3 linked regions of the Saccharomyces cerevisiae S288C genome follow. The gene in region 1 interacts genetically with each later gene. Each region holds a gene or a part of one and is shown in the gene's direction. Other genes may lie near its edges.

Region 1 (2,877 bases):
GCTGCTAGAAGTTAAAAAGTAGGCGCTGCAATGATTATGTGGTATGATCAGATTGTGTCGCAACGCTCAGCGGGGTTTTGGCTCAATGGGACCGCTGCTAATAAAACGTTTAACTAGCGAATTTTGGAACACACCGGTTGACAAAAGTATAAGGAGTCTCTTTCCGTGAGTTCCCCTCTTCCTCTCACTGCACTTCAACTATGCCTTATAGCAACCAAGAAGCTAGAAAATGCCAACTATTAAAAAGATAACCTCTTTGGAAGCAAATAAAACGGAGATTATCTTGGGATCTATTTCACAAATTTACGGCTAATTGGAATGAACAGCGCCAAGTAGCACTGGTCAAACTGCAGAGAGTATTAGAACTTGCTTTATTCCGTATATCGTACTTTAGGTCGTCAGTTTTACCACTTCGGTACGCAAATGAAAATGAAAAGCTCATTCACAACTTAGACACAATTTCGCCGTTTACAAGTAGCTGAAAAGTCCATCTATCGAATTATGAATGATACTATTTTAAATATAGTCGTTGCTGCACTCGTTTTCCATGTTCTTTTTATCCACACATCCGATGTTTTACTTACAGTTGAGCATCTCAGGGCCAGCGACAAATATAAACATATTATACTCAAAATGAAGCTCGTTGAAAAGAGGATATTTCTTAACCTCTTTTACAGTGCTTTCAACACCTTTTCATCTGTGTGCCATGTCAGATTAAGGATGCTCAACTTTTCGAATTATTATTACAAATTTCAAAGAAATTACTAGTCCTTTTTGTCCCCTAATGTATCCCTCATTTCATACCGTCGTTTTGGGGTTCCAACTACGTATAGCTTTCAAGTGTGGTTTTACGGTAAGAACAACCCCCCATCGGTTAGTGCGGAATACTTTCCTATTCTCATCGAGAGCCGAGCCATACACCTAAGGTGGACAGAAAGCTAAAATTCCAAAACAGAAAAATCTAACATCTTTGCTCCCTTACAAGTAGGAACGCTAGCGTATCAACCCATCTCCAGATTTGCCCAGCATTTCTGTAGAACACCCAATGCGAATGAAGACTAATGAATATTGTAAAGACAAAAAATAGGAAAAGTTTAATTAGTGATGGTTCTCACCACCCCAAAACGGTCACTTGCATGCATTGAGGACATGCACCTGCAGTACTTGTTTTTCTCGAATGTTTTTTACCATCTCTTTTTTCCTTATCTGAGCTGCTGACGCAGACGGACATTGTTTCATATTTCGAAAGCTGTGCGGGAAAACGGACCCTAACACGAATGTGAATGCGCTAATCGGTATTTCCACCACATGAAACCTGCTACTTTTTCAGTCCTCTTCGTATGCATTTCCCAAAATTCATTCGTAGCCTTGTCAACTTAGACTCAGTTCCACGGCGTGCAGGACGGGGTATTATGAATAAAAGGATCCACGGGTGAGATTTGTTTTATGTTTTAGGTATGGAGTTTTGTACCACAAAACTTTAGGAATACCGGATTGTGTGCCTACGCCAGCCCCAGAGTATGTTCTCACAGCTGTAATTCCTAGTGATCTTTTCCTGACTCCAATAGGAACGCCGGTAGGCAAATTAAACTTTCGCGGCAGGAAAAAAAAGGCTTTTTCTTTTTTGCCTTTCAGTTTCTCGGAATGTGGCATTACATAAGCATAATCCTTTTTGGGTGTGCCTGGAAAGTTCAAATTAAGGTTTTTTTCTTCTGTTTTCTTAACAAGAAAATGTCGCCCAAAGAGTTTCGGCCGTTATTTTCCTATCGAGTGGGTCCTTTTTGTCTTTAGTCCTTCTCTGGGGCTAGCGATCACTGCAAAATTAGGCTTTACTGGTACGAGTTAACTTTTTTTCTTTTTTTTGTCATCCTTTTCTTTGGGGCTAAGAATGGACTTCCCTTTTCTTTTTCTTTGTTGCGACAGTGGCTTCAAAGAACTGCTGATTGCTCAAGGCAATCAGTCCGAGCGTTTAGAAGGTGATTGTAGGCAGAAATTAACTTTGCGGTAAAAGAATGACATTCTTTCTTAAAAGAAAAATTAGCTTTTTTTTGTCAGGCATTGCACAAACTTTTTTATTTCTGCCTATACTCTTAAACAGATCAGTCATTCATGTTGTCTTTTTAACGGTCGTACTGGGACATCGCATACCTTGGGATTCCGTAATTAGGTGCAACAATACGGGCACAACTCATTCTGCGGTATCTTCACGGACAGAACTTCTATTGCCTATCGGTGGTGTGATTAACAATTGGAAGCGCAGAGCTTGGAATGGATTTTCAATTCAATGGATTTGGAGGTATTCGTTTGTTTACTAATATTTACTTTGAGGACATTGCCCAACCCTAAAAGTGCCTGCTCAAGAATAGAATAACATTATGATACGTTTTCTTGACCGCTGAGCAATTTAAAGCAACTATTAGGGTACGATTGTTTCTAGAGAAATGTGGGTCATCTTTTTAGGTCCGTTCTCTTCTGATGAGGTAACCTTTACAAAAATGTCATAGAGTTACCAATTGGGATTCAAGGCATCATCGCAATATACTTCGTTCTTTTACGGAGAAATTAAGCTCTTTCTACTTTGAATTAACTGTTAGACTTGTCTTATCTGAGGAATGTCCGTGTTCGAATTAAATAAAAAATTAGGGCAGTTTTATTTACCTTAACAAATATGTTCAAGCATTTACGTTACTGCGCTCTCTTCTAGTTCAAGAACGGATAACTCATAGACTTACCAGTACAAATTGTTGAAGGGTTCCCAATTGATAAAAAGGATCTCTTGCTTCCTAAAATAAACGTATAAAAAGCACCCTATTCATCAGTTATTATCCCTCGTCATGTTGTGGTTCTAATTAAAATATACTTTTGTAGGCCTCAAAA
Region 2 (3,063 bases), on another chromosome or scaffold:
GTGAGTTTAATGCCTCATTACCAGGCTTACTCTACCGATATGGCATAAGGGTTATTCCTTGTATGTTGACAGTCGGCGATTATGTGATAACTCCTGATATTTGTCTCGAAAGAAAATCGATTTCTGACTTAATTGGGTCATTACAGAATAACAGATTAGCCAACCAATGTAAAAAAATGTTAAAATACTATGCATATCCGACACTATTGATTGAGTTTGATGAAGGACAGTCGTTTTCTTTAGAACCTTTTAGTGAACGTAGAAATTATAAGAATAAAGACATATCAACTGTTCATCCTATATCAAGCAAGTTATCCCAGGATGAAATTCAGCTAAAACTAGCCAAATTAGTATTGCGGTTTCCCACTTTAAAGATTATATGGTCTTCCTCACCCCTGCAAACTGTAAATATAATCCTAGAGTTGAAATTAGGACGTGAGCAACCTGACCCTAGTAATGCAGTTATATTGGGAACGAATAAAGTTAGATCGGATTTTAATAGCACTGCAAAGGGCCTGAAGGATGGTGATAACGAGTCTAAATTCAAGAGACTGTTGAATGTTCCTGGAGTGTCAAAAATTGATTATTTCAATCTCCGCAAAAAGATCAAGAGCTTCAATAAGCTTCAAAAGCTTTCATGGAATGAGATTAATGAACTTATTAATGACGAAGATTTGACGGATAGAATATACTACTTCTTGAGAACAGAAAAAGAAGAACAAGAACAAGAGTCAACAGATGAAAATCTTGAATCTCCTGGTAAGACCACTGATGATAACGCTTTACATGATCATCATAATGATGTTCCTGAAGCACCTGTGTAAAATATTGTTTAATTTAACGAACCCTGTTAAAACATCAGTATAAAATGCGATTAACTATAGTGAAAATAACAATATTCATTTGGTGACTTCGACCGTATATGTTATAAGTTAGACATGCTCTTTGAATCTTTTACTTTGATATTTTATTCCGCATATATATTCTTTTTTTCGCGTTCATAGTTTATTCACTCAAATTTTTCATATCATCCGCAATTCATCTTCCACTTTTTAGCAGTAAAAATGACCAAATGAAGTTCATTTATTTTTGATTTTTTAACCGTATTTGGTGGAATCTGAGCGTGGCATTAGTGAATCATTTTAAGCCAAATTACCCGTGAGTTTTTCTTAGAAGCGCACAATCATATTCATTATTAATAAATGCTTCAAATTCATCCTCTTGAATAAGGTCCAGAAATAATTTTGTCTCTTTTCCATTACCTATGTGGGTAAAAATTTTCTTTTGCGACTAAGATTCAAGAGACCAAGTTTCTTTTCCACAACGATATATAATAAACCAAATGGTACAAAGTAGGAAACAACAAATAAGGAAAGCTTTTTCTTAAGTAGATTTGTATATTTATCCAAGAATGAACGATGTGTCTCGTAAACAGTAATTCCTTTTAAATTTTATATTTCTTCTATTTTCTGAACTTTTTTACTTAAGAAAAAATTTGGAAATCATTACCTGTAGGATGGCTTAGCTCTGATAATCAACCTACCAAAGTAGTTTGCAGTTATGTGCACTTTTCCCTTCATGTTAACATTATTCGGGCCGGTCTATTGTTAAATAATTAAGGGTCCATTTTAGGCACGGCGGATTCACAGAAAACCACGCAGTGCTCAACGTCATATACCACAAAATCCGTTTTCGTATTAAAAGTGAATGTGTCAGTAAAAGGCATTCTTTTTAGCGTTCATTATTTCCTTTAATATGATGTACCAATCTGTCCACTGCCTATGTAAACTTAAAAGGGAGGCATTTATGACTTGAGATTTGGTTAAATTACCAATATCTCAAGGGTAACAATATTTGCTATACTGGTCATCTAGAATAAAAATACTGCGTTGTAGTGCTGAGTGATAGAACTTTTAAATCATATTATGTTATATAACAAAGAGCAGGGAACAAGCGGCGCTAGTAGCTCTGGTCGTAGAACGAAATTCCACTTCGATCGTTTTGTACAAATGGTTCTGTTCATTGCCGCTAATCCCAATTATTGCTGTTCAGTAGCCAGTATCCCGAAATCTGGTGTCACGCCAGATTTAAAAAGAGCAGATATTCTTGAACAGAAGATCAAAAGCTTAAATAGTGCGCTGAGTCCAAAATTGAAGGAAGAAAGTCGTCTTGGTGGGCCTTTGCATAACCCCTCTATTCTACCAGCCCCATCTTTTTCATCACTACCAATATCATCCAATGGAAAGAAATCTTTAGCAGGATATAGACCTAAAAGTAGGAAGAAACAAACTATACTCCCCAACGGTCAACCAAAAGAGTGCGCCACTTGTGGTGACACCTGGACTTCTCAGTGGAGAAGTGGACCTAATGGAAATGTTGAGCTATGTAGTCGATGTGGCATAGCATATAGGAAAAAAATGGAGAAAAAAATACGATCGCAACAATCCTCCGATGATGGTACTAAAAATTTTATATTTAAAAATAAATAGTTAAGTAGTTTGTAAAGATGGTATATTCAGCGGATTCTTCCTCTATTTTTATGTTTTTTGAGATATTTCGAGCTTTCTATTTTTTTAAAATGCCTGAATTTCCATCTTCAAAAAAAACATAAAAAAGGTACTTTACCACCAAATAAATGATAACCACAATTTACTTTACTTATCCTCCACTATCAAGTATCTTCCTACCAGGAAAAATGAATTTCAAATGATTCGAAATTTACGGAGGCTCAATATAGAGATAGTGTGACGATGTTCATAAGGGCTTTACCGCTTAGCACGTATCTACAGTTTTCACTCAATAATATATTCTCTAGGAATGATTGCCAATAGATTGATATCCAAGAGAAGGTTCAATTAAGGAATTTCATTTCGTTCTAATCTTTTGTTGAAAATAAAAATTTTTACTTATATGTTAAAGCTTAAGATTCCACATAAGGTCGAAGACAATCGTCACTAATGTGTGGTTCTGCCTGCTCATCTCTAAAATATATTACTTTTTGTACAGACATCTAAATTGAGCTGGTGCTTATGCTATTCTTATGATTTATTTTCAAGTGGTTTA
Region 3 (3,395 bases), on another chromosome or scaffold:
TGCTTACATATCTGGTTGGGCTTGTTCTTCCACATTAGTTGGATCTACAAATGAAGTATCGCCGGATTTTGGCGATTATCCATACGATACTGTGCCGAATCAAGTGGAGAGAATATTCAAGGCGCAGCAATTGCACGATCGAAAGGCTTTCTTGGAGGCCTCCATCAAAGGTTCTACTCCTGTTGATTATTTAAAACCAATTATCGCGGACGCAGACATGGGTCACGGTGGCCCAACGACTGTAATGAAAGTTGCTAAGTTGTTTGCGGAGAAAGGGGCTGCTGGTATTCATCTTGAAGATCAGATGGTGGGAGGCAAAAGGTGTGGCCATCTAAGTGGGGCTGTTTTGGTGCCCACAGCAACACATCTTATGAGATTGATTTCCACCAGGTTTCAATGGGATATCATGGGGACAGAAAATTTGGTTATTGCAAGAACAGATTCCTGTAATGGTAAGCTGTTGAGTTCAAGCAGTGATCCGAGAGACCACGAATTCATTAGGGGTATAATAAGAGATAACGTGGTGCCTTGGAGCGAAAAATTGATTGAGATGGAGGACAAAAAAATTCCCAACTCCGCCATTGCTGACATGGAAAAAGAATGGTACCATGAAAATGAGCTGTTTACATTTGAAGAGGCCTTAGAAAAGCAGTTTACGGCAAGCGAGTTTGAAAGCTATAAAGAAAAGAAGGAAGACCTTATGGTAAACAAGCTGGGTAGAGCATACCTAAGCTTAAGAGAAATGAAACTTTTAGCTCAAGAAGTGACACCACTAAAGAAAATTATATTTGACTGGGATGCTCCGAGGACCAAAGAGGGATATTACATGTTTAACGGTTGTATTGAAGCAGCTATTAGAAGATCTTTGGTGTTTGCCCCATATTCTGATATGATTTGGCTGGAAACGAAAACTCCTGACCTGGAGCAGGCACGCTCATTTTCAAGAAAAATTCATAAACAACTTCCAGCTACCAAGCTAGTATATAACTTATCTCCTAGTTTCAATTGGAGCGCTCACGGCTTTGATGATAAGGCATTAAAATCCTTCGTATGGGACTTGGCAAAAGAAGGCTTCACGTTGCAACTGGTTTCCCTTGCCGGTCTGCATTCAGATGGAGTATCATTCTGGGAATTAGCCAATAGCTTCCAAAGTGACGGAATGAAAGCATACGTCGAAAAAGTGCAAAAACGGGAAAAGGAGACTAATTGTGATATCATGACACACCAGCTATGGTCTGGTGCAGAATATGTTGATTCCTTAATGAAAGTTGTCCAAAACGGTGCTTCATCCCAAACTTTAAGTACATCTGGTGAGAGCTTTACCGAAACGCAATTTTGAATACGCTTCAAGAAGATAAAAGTATAAATAATACATATTGCCAGCAACTTAGTCACATATCTCTTTTATCTCTATTTATCCTCTTTTTATTAATTTATGACCACGATCACTATATTTAGTTCGAAAGTTAGTGTTTGTTTTGCCAAGATATCCTCGCAGAAACAGTTTTACTTAAAGTTTCAGGTGTTGCGTGGAATGCCCCTGCTAAGCTGTCGTGTCGCGCTCTTCCCCGCGTTTGTTTCACATTATATATCATATGGCGTATGACGGTATGGGTGAAAATAAGCGTAGGCTGGTTGTGTGTATTTCTCTCGCACTTTGAAAGGGAAAAATAAAAATAGAGTCTATTAGGAAGCTCACATATGCCGGGAAAAATTACGTAAAGCATCAAAAGGGAAAGAAAATATAGGGAAAGATAAAACAAAAAGCAGAACGGTATCAGGCATTCTTGTTTTAGCCTTTATGTACGATATGGCGTTTATTATGGAGAATATTGAGGTATTCAACTATTTAATACTTGCTATAAATTCTGCCAAACTACTAATCATTCCGTTTATATAACTCAAGAAAAGAGAAATACAGAAACAAATAGATCAGATGCATTTCAAAGATTTAGGATTGCATGACTACACTCTCAAAAACTTGATGTATGAGAATAATTGCTGTAAATTTTATGATGCCGTGGATGAAAACAACATCTCATATGTTTTAAAATTTGTTCCCTCAGATGTGACTTCGGAAGGGGATACTTTCCCATTCGTGGATCGCTTTCAAGTAAAGGAAGGTGTTTTTTTGGTATATTCCTCAAATGACTTTGGAAAAGAAGGTACGGACTACTTTACTTATACTGGTAGTGGTGGAAATGAGGTTCACATCTCGGGCACCTCTTCAGAAGCAGGAATAAAACCGCAGTTTATTGAAACTTGCCATCCAAAACATCTTAAGCGGGGAACAAAAGAGCAGGAAGATATAAATAGTAGTACCTCAAAGAAAAGTGCAGTTATCAACAATTTTTCGGGTGAAAAAACACCAAATCCAAGGCCACAGAGTTCCAACATTTCAGAAAGAGAGACGTATGTCGGAATATTGAACGTCAAATGTAAAAATAAGAACTCATCGAAAATACGAAGTGAAAAATTGGTAAGCTCCGTCATCGAAACAAAGCATACGCCAGGATTGGCATCTATTTTATCGAAAGAAGGCACTACATATCCGAATAATGCGGACGGGAAACATATCAGTATCGTGAATCCATCCTCAAAAATATATCATTCATCCCATAAACAGATTGTTAAAACGCCTATCCCTAAGAGTGGCCTTTCTCCAATTGAGAGATGCCCTTTCAATGGTCAAAATATTAAATGCTACTCACCAAGACCACTAGATCATGAAAGTCCCCAACGTGATTTCAATAATAACTTTCAGCTGAGAATACTGAAGAGCTCGGTGTTGCAAAGGAGACAATCAACACAGAATAGTTGAAAAATTCGTTGGTACTAGCTTCGGGTCGGTTAGCTGCGCTGCTATGCATTTGTTAATATCTCCATCGAATTTTTGTTGTTTCGTTCAATAACTTTATTACTTCCCCCTTGGACTCTTTCGTTCTATCGTTCTACAAGTCCAGCCAAAATTTTTCCCCTCTTCCTTTTCTTTTGTTCACTTCTTAGCTCACTTATATAATTATATACTGATATTTGGATTCTTTTGTTGCAAATATGCTCTCCCAGATTTTTCTGTTGAGATGATTCATGCTTTACATGGATTGAGCATTAGAGAGTAACTATATCCAATTTCGTAAGACGAGTATCTACTTTCCCTTGTCCCCAGTAACCTCAGGAACGTGACAACTACTTTTCTTAAACTGTCAACAGCCAATGATACCGTATTCAATGCATGTCTTGGGATTAAGCCACTTTGATTGAGTTCCGTATTAGTAGTGAGAATTAAATCTTGCAAGATATAAGAATTACTCAACAGAGACGAGATACTTTCCTTTTTTTGGTTCTTTTGTTGTTACTTGGCTTAATGGACAAAGTCTGCTCGCATATTGTATATG

The links.
Region 2: mutations in YIR020C (region 1) and ECM23 together harm fitness more than expected from each alone (negative genetic interaction), as found in Saccharomyces cerevisiae (one large-scale study listed by BioGRID).
Region 3: mutations in YIR020C (region 1) and HAL1 together harm fitness more than expected from each alone (negative genetic interaction), as found in Saccharomyces cerevisiae (one large-scale study listed by BioGRID).

Annotation. Positions count from the first base shown.
Region 1 is NC_001141.2:393,693-396,569, reverse strand, and holds YIR020C (uncharacterized protein), read left to right. Parts: upstream 1-2,012; coding exon 2,013-2,315; downstream 2,316-2,877.
Region 2 is NC_001148.4:509,176-512,238, forward strand, and holds ECM23 (Ecm23p), read left to right. Parts: upstream 1-1,925; coding exon 1,926-2,489; downstream 2,490-3,063. Other genes in the region: ssDNA endodeoxyribonuclease RAD1, read left to right, coding at 1-824. UniProt on the Saccharomyces cerevisiae protein: Involved in morphogenesis. May be involved in cell wall organization and biogenesis.
Region 3 is NC_001148.4:565,213-568,607, reverse strand, and holds HAL1 (Hal1p), read left to right. Parts: upstream 1-1,936; coding exon 1,937-2,821; downstream 2,822-3,395. Other genes in the region: methylisocitrate lyase ICL2, read left to right, coding at 1-1,339. UniProt on the Saccharomyces cerevisiae protein: Involved in salt tolerance.